Styela clava: one gene and its partner. Each later gene encodes a partner of the first gene's protein in a complex. Links are inferred from orthologs where the notes say so. Each region holds a gene or a part of one and is shown in the gene's direction. Other genes may lie near its edges.

Region 1 (8,014 bases):
GTTCATTATAGACTCGGCTGAAAGTAAAATAGACACCACGAAAGAGAATATTGCCTCATATCTTCTCCCGTTTTTATTGAATCTCGGAAAGTATGAAGGAAACATTTCCATTCTTCAAAAATGCTTTATTAGGCAAACGGATGTGACAAGCTGTGGCGTATGTGTCTGTATGGCAGTGGACATGATTTGTTCGGACTTCAAAAATGACCTTGGCCTTGTCTCCCCAGACATATTTCGAAGTTGGATGATGTATGCAATTTGTCTTGGATCTAAAAAACTACATCCGAAAGTACATGCCATATTCAATACTGTATTTCGTAGAGATAGAGAGATAATTGACTAAGTAGTGAAAACAAATAAACGTTTTGGTTCAATTTATACTTATCTTTGAAAACTAAAGAAGTTGACGTAATTTTTGTGAATTTTTTTTATTAGGTTACATTTTTTTGCCAATATTCATAGGTATTTCGTTAAATATATGTGCCAATTCGTAGCATACAATTGATTCGCGTGTTTCAATACTTACGGGCTGTATAGTAGGAATTCGGCATGTTCTCACTGGATCTGGAAGCTTAATATTAAACTGTAAGATTTTGAATTCGATCGTTAAAGTCATAATTTCAGACATTCAATGGTGATAATGGAAGTCAAAAAAGCATCAAGCTTCCTAAGCGTTTTCTAACAATTAATTAATGAAGGCTAACATGCGCTAAAAATTTTGTTATCAAAATCGGATTTTTCTAGAGTTCGGAGCTGTAGTCGGGGTCAAAATTGTTTGCAAACCCGAGTCTAGAGTCGGAGTCATTTCTTTTTTCAATTCGGATTCGAATGTAAATGGCCGTGAAGTGGAACGCCGCAACTATTTCACTGTTACGAAAGCACATGGGTTATTTCTTCGGATACTGTTCATCTCTACTAATCAATGATTTGTACTTCTTTTTCGTTCATGTTGCATGTATACCGGAACAACGTAACAATTTTTGTGCGCAGCCATTTTGCGAAAATAAAATCACCAGTTCAGCTTATAATGCAATGCTGCAAAATTCTTGTTTTGTCTCACCTGAAATGAAAGTAAATCGAATTGTAAATTATCTGTGACTATTTAAATTTTAAATATAATTTAACCATGAAAAAGCGAAGACATTATCCAGTATATAAACATATTATTTCAACGCAATCAAACATAATGGAGAGATTGTTCCTATACATGTGGGGTTGCAAGTAACCAAGCTGATAAAAAGAACAGTGATTAGAGTTTCTCCCGGACAAACATAAAAGCTCATGGATTTGCGTAGAATTTCTCTTATAGACTACTTTCAGCTAATATATACTATGTAGGTGAGTATCGGTGATGGGTCGATTTATACCATGGCATGCATGTCTCTCAATAACAACACTATTCTGATTTTGAGCCCCAAAGGCAAATCTTGGGTCAATTTAACGATTTTTCGAATTTCTAAGAAATTTACGTTATTGCGCTATATTAAAAGTATTTTGTTAGAAAACTGATCGAGTTTTTTTCCAATTTCTTTATTCCATTGGAAAGATGATGAATTCAAATATCCATACTCAAAATATTTTTTAAGCCCCAAAGGCAGATCTTGTTCAAATTTTGGGTCAATTTAACGATTTTTCGAATTTCTAAGAAATTTACGTTATTGCGCTATATTAAAAGCATTTTGTTAGAAAACTGATCGAATTTTTTTCCAAATCCTTTATTCCATTGGAAAGATGATGAATTCAAATATGCATACTCAAAATATTTTTTAAGCCCCAAAGGCAGATCTTGTTCAAATTTTGGGTCAATTTCACGATTTTTCGAATTTCTAAGAAATTTACGTTATTGCGTTATATTAAAAGTATTTTGCTAGAAAACTGATCGAGTTTTTTTCCAATTTCTTTATTCCATTGGAAAGATGATGAATTCAAATATCCATACTCAAAATATTTTTTAAGCCCCAAAGGCAGATCTTGTTCAAATTTTGGGTCAATTTAACGATTTTTCGAATTTCTAAAAAATTTACGTTATTGCGCTATATTAAAAGTATTTTGTTAGAAAACTGATCGAGTTTTTTTCCAATTTCTTTATTCCATTGGAAAGATGATGAATTCAAATATGCATACTCAAAATATTTTTTAAGCCCCAAAGGCAGATCTTGTTCAAATTTTGGGTCAATTTAACAATTTTTCGAATTTCTAAGAAATTTACGTTATTGCGCTATATTAAAAGTATTTTGTTAGAAAACTGATCGAGTTTTTTTCCAATTTCTTTATTCCATTGGAAAGATGATGAATTCAAATATCCATACTCAAAATATTTTTTAAGCCCCAAAGGCAGATCTCGTTCAAATTTTGGGTCAATTTAACGATTTTTCGAATTTCTAAGAAATTTACGTTATTGCGCTATATTAAAAGCATTTTGTTAGAAAACTGATCGAATTTTTTTTCAAATCCTTTATTCCATTGGAAAGATGATGAATTCAAATATGCATACTCAAAATATTTTTTAAGCCCCAAAGGCAGATCTTGTTCAAATTTTGGGTCAATTTCACGATTTTTCGAATTTCTAAGAAATTTACGGTATTGCGCTATATTAAAAGTATTTTGTTAGAAAACTGATCGAGTTTTTTTCCAATTTCTTTATTCCATTGGAAAGATGATGAATTCAAATATGCATACTCAAAATATTTTTTAAGCCCCAAAGGCAGATCTTGTTCAAATTTTGGGTCAATTTAACAATTTTTCGAATTTCTAAGAAATTTACGTTATTGCGCTATATTAAAAGTATTTTGTTAGAAAACTGATCGAGTTTTTTTCCAATTTCTTTATTCCATTGGAAAGATGATGAATTCAAATATCCATACTCAAAATATTTTTTAAGCCCCAAAGGCAGATCTCGTTCAAATTTTGGGTCAATTTAACGATTTTTCGAATTTCTAAGAAATTTACGTTATTGCGCTATATTAAAAGCATTTTGTTAGAAAACTGATCGAATTTTTTTTCAAATCCTTTATTCCATTGGAAAGATGATGAATTCAAATATGCATACTCAAAATATTTTTTAAGCCCCAAAGGCAGATCTTGTTCAAATTTTGGGTCAATTTCACGATTTTTCGAATTTCTAAGAAATTTACGGTATTGCGCTATATTAAAAGTATTTTGTTAGAAAACTGATCGAGTTTTTTTCCAATTTCTTTATTTCATTGAAAAGATGATGAATTCAAATATCCATACTCAAAATATTTTTTAAGCCCCAAAGGCAGATCTTGTTCAAATTTTGGGTCAATTTAACGATTTTTCGAATTTCTAAGAAATTTACGTTATTGCGCTATATTAAAAGTATTTTGTTAGAAAACTGATAGAGTTTTTTTCCAATTTCTTTATTCTATTGGAAAGATGATGAATTCAAATATCCATACTCAAAATATTTTTTAAGCCCCAAAGGCATTTCTTGTTCAAATTTGGGGTCAATTTAACGATTTTTCGAATTTCTAAGAAATTTACGTTATTTCGCTATATTGAAAGTATTTTGTTAGAAAACTGATGGAGTTTTTACCAATTTCTTTATTCTATTGGAAAGATGATGAATTCAAATATCCATACTCAAAATATTTTTTAAGCCCCAAAGGCAGATCTTGTTCAAATTTTGGGTCAATTTAACGATTTTTCGAATTTCTAAGAAATTTACGGTATTGCGCTATATTAAAAGTATTTTGTTAGAAAACTGATCGAGTTTTTTTCAATTTCTTTATTTCATTGGAAAGATGATGAATTCAAATATCCATACTCAAAATATTTTTTAAGCCCCAAAGGCATTTCTTGTTCAAATTTGGGGTCAATTTAACGATTTTTCGAATTTCTAAGAAATTTACGTTATTTCGCTATATTGAAAGTATTTTGTTAGAAAACTGATGGAGTTTTTTACCAATTTCTTTATTCTATTGGAAAGATGATGAATTCAAATATCCCTACTCAAAATATTTTTTGAGCCCCAAAGGCAGATCTTGTTCAAATTTTGGGTCAATTTAACGATTTTTCGAATTTCTAAGAAATTTACGGTATTGCGCTATATTAAAAGTATTTTGTTAGAAAACTGATCGAGTTTTTTTCAATTTCTTTATTTCATTGGAAAGATGATGAATTCAAATATCCATACTCAAAATATTTTTTAAGCCCCAAAGGCAGATCTTGTTCAAATTTTGGGTCAATTTAACGATTTTTCGAATTTCTCAGAAATTTACGTTATTGCGGTATTTTGATCGAGTTTTTTTCAATTTCTTTATGTCATTGGAAAGATGATGAATTCAGATATTCATACTCATAATATTTTTTGAGCCCCAAAGGCAGATCTTGTTCAAATTCTGGGTCAATTTAACGATATTTCGGATTTTAAAGAAATTGACGTTATTGCGTTGTATTAAAAGTATTTTGTTAGAGAACTGATCTTTTTTTTTCGAATTTCTTTATTAGATTGGAAAGATGTCTGAGCTATAAATCCATACCCAAAATTTTTTTAGAGTCCTAAAGGCAGATCTTGTTCATATTTTGGGTCAATTTAACGATTTTTCGAATTTTCAGGAAATTTACGTTGTTGCGTTGTATTGAAATTATTCTGTTAGAAAACTGATCAATTTTTTTGTCAAATTCTTTTTTTGATTGGAAAGATGTCTGAGTTGTAAATCCATACCCAAAATATTTTTTGAGACCCAAAGGCAGATCTTGTTCAAATTTAGTGTCAATTTAACAAACTTTTCATTTTTTCCTCAATAATACGTTATTTTATTTTGATAAATGTAGTTTTTTGTACTTCTCCCTTGATCCCAAATGCTTCGTGTGATTGAATGCTACATAATAACGTTCAATTTGCAATTCTACATCTCTGTGGTTAATAATTAAAAATATTTCGCAAAGTGGAAACACGTTTTTATGACATCGTATATTTTGCTGCGGGATTTTGCTAGCATTTTGCTTATATGACAGTGGCGATAGCACACGGTAGCTTTTGTATTTTCTGTTCCATATATAACAAAGGCCAGAATATGAAGAAAGAGGTTGATAATGAAGACGACGAATATGCGGATTTAAATAAGCCGCTTTCAGATGTGAAAGACAAATGGAAAATATTACCGGCATTTCTCAAAGTGAAAGGCTTGGTGAAGCAACACATCGATTCATTTAATTATTTTATTAACGTGGAGATCAAGAAAATAATGCAGGTTGGTGAAATCTATTATTGATTTTCTACGCGGCGGTGTGGCTCAACGGGCTAAGCGTTAGGAATACGCTCGCTACCGCACCTCTAATTACTCTGCGTGGGTTCGCAGGTTCGAATCCCATGCAGTGATGGTTATGTGCGAGAGGATTGTCCATGCCTCCGAAAACAAACAATATATATATATATATATAACTAATCCCATACCCGACTTGAAATGGTAACCGGACGAGAGGCCGTGGTTCGCCATATGGATAAGCCGTCTTATCGGCTTTCCTCTCCCCCTGGATAAATATGTAAATCCTATCCTATCCATTTCAGTTCAATCTTATTTAGAATATATTTGTTGAAACTTACGGTCTTATCTCCAGTTTAGGGTTAAATATATAAAGTTCTCATGTAAAAATGTTGAAATTATTTTTTTTTTCATTTCGCTGACTGGATGACTCATTGAGTCTTTCGCGACCCTGCGTCAATTGCTGTGAATCAATGTTTTCTATTTATTTTTAGTTCACTATGTTTTACTTTTGCTTTCAATTGATTCTTGCATGACGGGATAAAATATCTGAATCTATCTATTATTTTTATCATTCAACACAATTTAACAAAAACAAATAGGTTAAGTTTATTCGACTTTCTAAATGTTGCAATATTGATTTTGGCTCATTTAAGAATTGCTCATTTGTGAATGTTTTATTTTACAGGCAAATGACAAAGTGCTAAGTGATGCTGATCCAAATTGGTATTTAAAATATCTCGATATTCACGTTGGAAAACCTGACGTGGAAGAAAGTTTCAATGTCACTCGTCCTATTTCACCACACGAGTGCAGGCTTCGAGATCTTACCTACTCTGCTCCGATAACTGTTGATGTTGAATACACAAGAGGGCAGCAGAGAATTATTCGAAAACACCTCCCCATTGGAAGGATGCCAATCATGTTACAAAGTTCAAATTGTGTTTTAGCTGGAAAAAATCCTGTTGAGTTTGCAAAGCTAAATGAATGTCCGTATGATCCAGGCGGTTATTTTGTTTGCAAAGGGGTTGAAAAGGTAAATTAAAAATGAAATGATGGCTGAATATAATTGCTTCACAATTACTAGACTAAGGTTAGGCTACTTTACGAGATAAAGGTGTATCGAGTGAAGTAAAAACTCTGATTAAAATAAAACAAACCTGGTTATATATTGAGAACTGACTTCATAAAAAAATATTGAAATTGCAATATGGCTTCATGAATAGGCTACCTGGCATTATAGCCTATTTATATATGCAATGTATAAAATTAGGAAGCGGTAAATTTCATAATAAAATTTTGAATTTTAGGTCATATTGATTCAAGAACAACTGTCCAAAAACCGAATGATTTGTGAGAAAGATCGAAAGGGTTTGGTGAGTTGTTCCGTGCACAGTTCCACTCACGAGAAAAAGACTCGAGCGACAATTTTGCAAAAGAAGGGAAAATTTTATTTACAACAGAATGCACTGACAGAAGACACTCCTGTTTGTATTATTTTTAAAGCAATGGGTGTTGAAAGTGACCAAGCTATAATGCAACTCATAGGTAAGGCACTAGGTCCAAAATTTTACTGTGGAGTCACGAATGAGTCGGAATGGTCGACATTATATTTTCAAACTTTGTAAATGTGTAACGAAAAAGTATGAACTGAAACATTCCAAGATCTTTATCCACCAATTCTCACAAAAATTTTATTAAGACTTTAGTTGCAGAAATGCTTGTTAATTGAGCTTTTTACATATTTTTACAAATCTTGAAAAATATGCTGATTTCAATTAATTCATGGATGTTAAACTATGGACTATGCATATTGCGCAATTACTTGATTGAATAATCCCATATGCAACCTGGACTGGTAATCGAAGGAAAGTCTTTGCTTCGCCTTGCGACTAATTCATCTCAATCTGAGCCCTTTTCTCTCCTGGTTAAATATTAAAATCATATATTCTTGGACACGAAGTGTATGTGTATATTGTTTCGTTATTATGTTGTTGTTGTTCCTGTTGGTATTTTTTTTCATATAATTATGAAAAAATTGCTTTTCTCAATAATTGCTTTGAATTTTTCAGTGGTTCAAGATTGTATTTTTTGGTAGAAGGTTATTACTTTTCTTATTTTAAAAATTTCTGTGGGCTCTATGGGATTTGTTTTTCGTGTGCGATGACGTCATCAAAAATTGTGCACTTTGTTGCGGTTTTGGGTTCTCAATAGTCGTGAAGACTGTGGTATTGACCTGTACTACTTCGTTCTTGCCTTTGTGTCCATGTTTTTCAGCATCACTTTTTTGTACTTATATAAGTAAATATAATCAGAGTTGGGTACTCCTGAAGTATGTGCACCAAGATGTTGCATAACCTGAACCCTAACCTGGTACACAACCTGATTTCAGGTTGTGTGCCACCTTGGTGCATATACTTCAAGAGGTCCCATAGTTGTTGTTTACATTACCTTTATCCCAGGGACCGATGAGTCCATCATGTCTCTATTTGCATCCTCCATCGAAGAATGTCACAGACTCGAAGTTTTTACTCAACTTCAAGCGACTCGTTATATTGGTCAAAAAATCCGTAGAAATCGTGGCATGTGGGGAGCACCGAGACGATCACGAAACGATGAAGCAAGAGACTGGCTGGCAACAACTTTACTTGCTCATGTGCCTGTTATTGATTGGAATTATCATTGCAAGGTTAGACATGTTTCATATTGGTTTAGTTTTGTAAAGTTGTATCTGTTTTTTACTTGTGATGTTGCAAAAAAGATAAGTTTAAAAGATCTCATTTTTA
Region 2 (8,015 bases), on another chromosome or scaffold:
CCATCTATCAAGTAATTTATTTCAATTTTAAATATTCTACACATACAGACATAATTATGTGGGGAATTTTGTGTCGAAGTCGCCTCACCTATATCTGTATATGCTATATTTCTCTAAAAGAATTCAACATGATGCATGTACTGCAGTGTGACAGTACTATCAACTATATTTTGGTGTAATTCCTAACTTCATCTGGACCATGCTTTTTGTTTGAGATTTATTTGATTCTGTGATTGGTTAAGTCAGCAAGTTAAAACCTAATGATTCAATTACATTTTCAGCTAATGTTGTAAATAGGTGAATTTCAATCTTAATCATGGCTTCAACCAGTTCTGATCCAAAGGCTGAAGATGCATTCAATACATATATGTCCGAAGTGAAAAGAATTGAAGCCGCGGATTCAGTACTAACACCAAAACAACAGATTGATCGTTTAAATCGACCTGGATCAACTTATTTTAATCTTAATCCATATGATGTTCTACAAGTTACGCCAGAAACTCCTCTACCAGATGTTAAGAAGAAATTCAGACGCTTATCTATACTTGTTCATCCAGATAAAAATTTAGAACAAAAAGAGCTCGCACAAAAGTCATTTGATGCTGTCAAAAAAGCATGGGAATTACTAAATGATGATAAAGAAAGAGAAAAATGTTTAGGTGTAGTTTCAGATGCAAAAGTACGACTTGAAACGAAATTGAAAGAAAAAAGGAAGAAATTGAAAAAGGAAGGAAAACCTGCTGAAATACCAGAAGATGATCCGCATGTTTATGAATCAGAACTACACAAAGAAACTTGTAAACTTTTTGCTGACATGGCGATTGTTCGTAAAGAGATGGAAACTCGAGAAATGAATGAAAGAAAAAGGAAAGCGCAACAAGAAGCTGAGGAAAAAGAAAAAGCGAAGCAGCAGAAAGAATGGGATAAAAACTTTGAGGAAAGTCGTCAAGGTAGAGTTTCCAGTTGGCAAAATTTTAAGAAGGATAAAAAGAAGAAGAAAAAAGACACGAGGGCACCTTTCAAACCTCCGAAAGTCAGAATGGAAGAAAGATGATTTTCCTCTCATTATAGTTATATTCATCAAACTTATATCTCTAAAACTTCAATTGTCTTTTGTTTCACATCATATCGAAATAATCTTGAAAATTAGAATTGATTGTGAAACCTGTGTACTAGGCTATAGTATTATGCATTGACATAGAATCATCATTTTGTTTCTCCCAATTGGGGTCAAACTTTACAGTAGTGAATGAGTCCCCACTAATTTTAAATTATGTTTCATTTAGAATATTATTATTGAAACAGTTTTTATATGGGTATGGTTTTCAATAATCTGTCAATGTTATTAAGATGGAATTTATGGATTGTTCTATGTATTTGTAATAAGAATTTGGTGAATTGAAAAGCATATATTTTTCAGCAAAAAAAAATCAAATTGGAAAATTTAAATAGTACTGCATTGTGACACAAATTGTTTTTCACCAAGATTATATTAGTAGTAATTTTCCGTTTATTTTGTTATTTTGTCTCACTTGACAGGTATGCGGCTATATTAGCTTATTTTTTAAAGTTTATTGAACTATGCTTCTTTGTTATTTTCAGCTTGTGTCACTGCTTAGTTAATTAGTTAAGAACAAAATGGATTGGAAAAAAATTGTACGAAGTGAATACATCACGCTTAGATCGGCGAAGAGATATCAACGTAGTGACAAAATTAAACAAGCTTTCATAAATAACAGAGTAAAATTGAACGAAAGAATTTCAAAATTGGAACAAACAAATGAAAAGTACAAAGTACAACAACCAGATTCAGAACCGGTTTTTACAAATAGACCATTCCTTCGATGCTGTACAGTGAAAAGTAGTGTTCATGCTTTCCGTGATCAGTCTGTTCCTTTATGTACACTGCAAGCTGTGCCAAGTCTTCCTGTTTATTATACATGGGTCCCAGTTCAACAGGATTTCATGGTTGAAGATGAAACAATTCTACATAACATTCCATATATGGGGGACGAAGCTTTGGATAAAGATGGAAGTTTTTTAGAAGAGTTGATTATGAATTATGATGGTAAAGTGCATGGGGACAGAGAAGGTGGTTTTCTAAGTGATGAATTATTTGTTGATCTTGTTGATGCACTGAATAAATATAATATCAGTCGTAAACGTCGTCCTTTGAGAAGTCGTTACAGAACTGATAGTGCTGCAAATGAAGCATCACAAGACAACACTACAAGCGAATCAAGCAATGAAGATGCAGATCCAGCGAAAGAGAAGGAAACTGCAGATGCGGAGCAAAATAAAAATTCAGACTCGTCATCTGCTTCTGGTACAAACACATTTCCTGCAGATGAAATATTTGATGCTATTGCTGATTATTTTCCTGATAAAGGTTCAGGTGAAGATTTAAAAGATAAATATAAGGAGCTGACTGAATTGATGGATCCCGATGCACAACCTCCTGAATGCACTCCCAATATCGATGGTGCAAATGCTAAATCAGTACAAAGGGAGCAAGCATTGCATTCTTTTCATGAATTATTTTGCAGACGCTGTTACAAATATGATTGTTTTCAACACAGTCATCTTTATAGACCACCTATTAAAACGAGTAAACGAAAAACTCAAGATGTTAGAACACCTACAGAACCTTGTGGTGCTGATTGTTTCCAACACCTTGAAGGTGCACAAGATTATCGTGAAATATCAGAGAAACCTCACAGACATTTGCAGAGAGGATTGTCAAAGAAGAAATCTCAGCTTAAAGGCGAAGGAAGAAGTGGGAGCAGCAGTGGAAGTCGACCTAGTACCCCTGCCCCAAGTGAGAGTGAGATGGATACAGATGCGACAGATACTGAAAAACTACCTACAACACAATCAATGACATCATTTCTTGAACTCGTTCCTGAAAATTTGACTAAAACTATATGGGATGGAGCAGAGTCAACTCTGTATCGGGTATTAAGAACAAATTACCCAAACAATTTTTGTTCGATTTCGAAACTTATTAAAACTAAATCTTGCCAAGAAGTTTATGCCTTTGCATTACTTGAAGCTACACGCTCGCAACATGACAGCGGTTCACAACCTCATCCACATGAACATGATTTGAGAGATTCAGCTTCTCCCAGAAAGAAAAAAAGGAAGCACAGACTTTGGTCTCTCCATGCTAGAAGAATACAACTGAAACGAGATTCGTCCAGCAATCATGTTTACAATTACCAGCCTTGTAATCATCCAGGACAGCCTTGCGACAGCAATTGTCAATGCATTATGGTTGGAAATTTTTGCGAAAAGTATTGCCAATGTCCGTCTGATTGTCATAATCGCTTTCCAGGATGTCGTTGTAAAGCTCAATGTAACACCAAGCAATGCCCATGTTATCTTGCAGTGAGAGAGTGTGATCCAGACCTCTGCTCTCTTTGTGGTGCTGACCAGCTCGGCACAAATGCAAGTAAATGTTCTTGTAAGAATGTTTCAATACAAAGAGGTCTCCATAAGCATCTACTTTTGGCTCCATCTGATGTTGCCGGATGGGGAATTTATATAAAAGAAGATGTGCCCAACAAAAATGAATTCATTTCTGAATATTGCGGAGAAATTATATCTCAGGATGAGGCAGATCGTCGTGGAAAAGTTTACGATAAATACATGTGTAGCTTTCTGTTTAATCTCAATAATGATTTTGTTGTGGATGCCACTCGTAAAGGAAACAAAATTAGATTTGCCAATCATTCCGTTCATCCTAATTGCTATGCTAAAGTGATGATGGTAAATGGTGATCATCGTATTGGAATTTTCTCAAATTGCCCGATACAAGCAGGAGAGGAATTGTTCTTCGACTACAGCTACAGTCAATCTGATGCAGTAAAATATGTTGGAATAGAAAGAGAGATGGAAGTTTCCTAAAACTATTTGAGAATCATTATAATAGGCTACTACTGTAAATAAGTATAACAGTTAGGAGTTTTGTAGACTATTCTGATTGCTCACACTGCGATTCACTTATTGAATCAGGCAATTGAAAGCACTAGTATGGAATGTTTTCTTTACACATATTTATTTTGTTTGACGTGGTCCCTATTTTGCCAATGCATTATTGCGTTGGCTTTTCGTTTTATAAATTGAGGATGCAGTAGACATCCCCAGGGGCACAGTCAGGATTTTGCAGCGTAGAGTGGGGGGGGGGGGGGTGGGGCGGGGTCGGAGTCAGAAATACCCATGTAACGCATGAGGAAACAATTGATGCGATTATGCTACTCATTAAAATTGTGGTTAACGTATCTTGCGGTTGCATCGTTTCACATAGAAATAACATTGTATTTGAACTCTAAAATACCATGGCAATCAGTGGATATAAAAATGTGATATGAATTCTACAATTAGATTTTACTTTGGATTCATATTTTTGCGACCACGCAAATTTGTTATTGCTGATAATAAAATCACAAAATCTGTGATAAAATTGCAGTACAGTTTATGTTAGTACAATAAAAAATTGATTGAACATCAGTATCAGCATAATCCAAAAAAAATTGAGTGTGGCCCTGACGATAATTTATTAACTGATGGCATGCATAATTGACTGTTTTATCTTCAGTGACTATGGTATAGTTCCAACTTATTATAATGTGTTCCATGGCAACTCAGGCCCCGAAAACCCCCTGGCTGCACCACTGGACTCTGCTGTCTCTTTTGCATCATTTGCTGCTGAAACTTATTCATAATTTCTTTATTTAGCTACTGCATTTTTTTGTTGTTGTGCCAGACATTATAATCTATATGTTGTTTGAATCTGCTTGTTGTGATACCTTGTGACTGTCATCATATTTTTAAATCATAAAATCTAAATGTTTGACCAATACTGTTGTCTATAAAATAAATGCACATCACTTGATTCCAGAAACCTTTATGATCATCATAGAAATCCAGCATAATCAGATTTATTGGTTTATTGAAACATCTGTTCTATATCAATTGCAATGGTTTTGTACTTTTTAGTTTAATATCTGACATGGACTGAACTACATAGGCTATGTATGTATAAAATAATTTTATAGACAACTTCATTCATCATGGCAATGGAAGTCACTATGCAAGAGGGTAGTGGACTGCCATTGGAAGACAGGTAGTACTTCTTTATTTAGAGTTATTGTCAACAGGATCTCTGAAATTCATAGTATGGTAGTGGTATGTTTATACCAGTTCAAAGAACATATTGAGTTGATTTCATTGAGCAGACTATGATCTTAAATCACAACAACATTCTAATGCATTGTTGTTGGCGGCTTGACACCATTATTCACTCAAGAATAAGTGACAGATACTGCTAATTATTCTGCAAATAATGCGGTTTTCGATAATTTTCGTCATTCCTGATTATAACCATATATTTCTTCTGTGCATGGTTATCAATGATTAATAAAATTTGAGTTGAGTGTTATATTTCTGTCTAGAATATTGGCAATGTGTGCTGAATATCCTAAAGGAATCGGTGATGAGTTCATTCAGAAGAAAGAACCTCAAATTGACTCAAAGGAAAGAGTTGCTGCAATCAACAAGTTGCTTACAATGGTTGGTTTGTTTTAAATATAACATTGTAGTATTCAGTATAATTTTTGTTAATATAAAATTTCATTAATTATTTGTGAATGTGTCGGTCAATTCGATTGCGATTTTGCACCATGGTGTTGCTAACATAATAGTAACAGCATGTTTAATAAAATTTCGCTATATTAATTTCCTGCCCAGCTTTGGTCATGTTTATTGTAATGAGATCAATCTAGAAGCAGGTGGACAATGATTTTCTTGCCAAGATTCTAACTACACTAAAACAAAATTCGCCCACCTGTTGGAGATTTCTTAAATATATCTTAAATGTTCTGTACTTGGGTTTTCAGGGAAAGATAGAACTTCTGAAAGGAACTTCTGGATTGATATACAGATTGAAATGTACAACCGGAGCAAGGTATCTAGAGTGTTGGATTGTAATGAAAATTATTCTGCATCCACATTGTGCTTGGTTTTGGATCATATATGTTTTGTTAACTTTTATGACATGATTTCCCCATTTGCGTGGTTTGTGACGAAACATGGGTCTAGAGTTCATATAGTCACCCATTATACTAACATTATACACAAGTTCAATCTATTTGCTTTGTATGACATATATGTATTACCATAGTATCAAACAGCTGGAAAAGAGGAATTGACAAGAATCATTTTGTTGTCGAATAGTGGAATTTTGTCATAAAAATCTGTTATTGTGTAAAACTGGCCAATTTTGATTGCGATTTTGCACCATGGTGTTGCTATCATAATGGTTACAGCATGTTTAATAAAATTTCGCTATATTGATTTCCTGCCCAGCTTTGGTCACGTTTATTGTAATGAGATCAATCTAGAAGCAGGTGGACAATAGCCTTTTCACTTTTTTGGCAAGATTCTGAATAAACTAAAAGTAAATTCGCCACAGACGATGGCCCCTAGTCAAAAGGATCAAAGAGTCCTTTTTTGAAAATATGACATTAGCTACTTTGGATTTACTGCCATGGCATAATATTAATGGGAGACATTTCTACTAATTACAGCCAAATCAAAGGAATTGACAATCAAGATAAACTTGTGTATCAAGTTATAGAAAGTGCTGGTAATAAAGGAATATGGATTCGAGATATTCGACACAGATGTAATTTAATGTTGACGGAAGTTAACAAAATATTGAAGAATTTAGAAAACAGGAAATTGATCAAAGCTGTCAAATCTGTCACGGTATTTTCATTGCAGTCTTGTATTTTTGTTGAGACGTCCTAATACTGCAATCTGTGACTATTCTTATTCCAGGTTGTATCTGTCATAGCAAACTTATTTGAATGGTGGAATTTTGTAATAAAAATCTGGTATCGTGTAAAACTTGTCAATTTTGGCTGCGATTTTGCACCATGGTGTTGCTATCTAAATGGTTACAGCATGTTTAATAAAATATCGCTATATTAATTTCCTGCCCAGCTTTGGTCACGTTTATTGTAACGAGATCAATCTAGAAGCAGGTGAACAACAATATTTTTACTGAAACTAAATTATCTCTAGTCGATAACTGATAACCAAGGTCTGTCATGTTGCCAGTGTGCTTCTGATTATGAAATCTGTGAGTGGATTTTGGACTCTATGCCAGTTATTTACAGCTTTCTCTAGCTAGCATCTAAGAAAGTGATTTTAAAACATTCCCATAAAGAAACCTGGTCCAGTGGTCTGGTAACTGGAGGCTGTAGATCGTGGTATATTTGAGTGTCTTCGTCTGTATTTCCTATAAAGATAGATTTGAAAATACGATCCATCCTGATTGTTGACTTGTTTACATATTCAACTCATGACTAGTACAAGCGACTAATTCTGCTTTCAGTTGGTAGGATTGTTATGGGATTCTTCAATAAACATTTTTATTTTTTATTATGTCCTAAATTTTTATTTTAATAAATATGTATTTCAAACAGTAGTAATTTCATTCAATTTTTATTCAGGCTTCTAAAAAGAAAGTATACATGCTTTTCAATCTTGAACCTGATAGTTCAATAACTGGTGGAGCATGGTATTCTGGACAAGATTTTGAATCCGAATTCGTTGATGTTTTGAATCAACAATGTTACAAATTTCTTCAACAAAAAGAGGAGAGCGCTGCAAGTGAGGTTTGGGACCACTTCATATTATTCGTACACTGAATAACTAGGCCTATCTTATGGTGGTACTATATTTCTGCAGTGTACATTTTTGTTATTTGTCTTGTACTCAATACCTTGTGAATGTCATATGTTATATGGACATATATTTTGGAAAGGTTTGGAGTAAGAAAATTTCAAAAATTAATGAAGGGTAAAATTACTGCATTTGCCAGTTATTTAAATATTGCATCTGGTGTACTATCTGCAACCCATGCTCGGTGTAGTCAAATCAACGGTAACACTTTCATGGATATTTACTTTGATAAATTCCTCCTTTCAAGCGAACGAATGCTTTAGTGA

What was found. Proteins that work in one complex are often made in the same cells at the same time.
Region 2: DNA-directed RNA polymerase III subunit RPC2-like (region 1) and DNA-directed RNA polymerase III subunit RPC6-like share a complex: the UniProt entries of both Drosophila melanogaster proteins name them as parts of the RNA polymerase III (Pol III) complex. The link is inferred for Styela clava from reciprocal best matches to the Drosophila melanogaster genes Polr3B and Polr3F.

What each region holds. Positions count from the first base shown.
Region 1 is NC_135255.1:15,753,157-15,761,170, forward strand, and holds the start of DNA-directed RNA polymerase III subunit RPC2-like, read left to right. Parts: upstream 1-4,984; 5' UTR 4,985-5,039; coding exon 5,040-5,216; intron 5,217-5,916; coding exon 5,917-6,264; intron 6,265-6,538; coding exon 6,539-6,776; intron 6,777-7,690; coding exon 7,691-7,917; intron 7,918-8,014. UniProt on the Drosophila melanogaster protein: DNA-dependent RNA polymerase catalyzes the transcription of DNA into RNA using the four ribonucleoside triphosphates as substrates. Second largest core component of RNA polymerase III which synthesizes small RNAs, such as 5S rRNA and tRNAs.
Region 2 is NC_135251.1:26,464,005-26,472,019, forward strand, and holds the start of DNA-directed RNA polymerase III subunit RPC6-like, read left to right. Parts: upstream 1-4,983; 5' UTR 4,984-5,072; coding exon 5,073-5,125; intron 5,126-5,453; coding exon 5,454-5,571; intron 5,572-5,897; coding exon 5,898-5,965; intron 5,966-6,587; coding exon 6,588-6,768; intron 6,769-7,517; coding exon 7,518-7,682; intron 7,683-8,015. Other genes in the region: dnaJ homolog subfamily C member 8-like, read left to right, coding at 317-1,054; histone-lysine N-methyltransferase EZH2-like, read left to right, coding at 1,639-3,906. UniProt on the Drosophila melanogaster protein: DNA-dependent RNA polymerase catalyzes the transcription of DNA into RNA using the four ribonucleoside triphosphates as substrates. Specific peripheric component of RNA polymerase III which synthesizes small RNAs, such as 5S rRNA and tRNAs.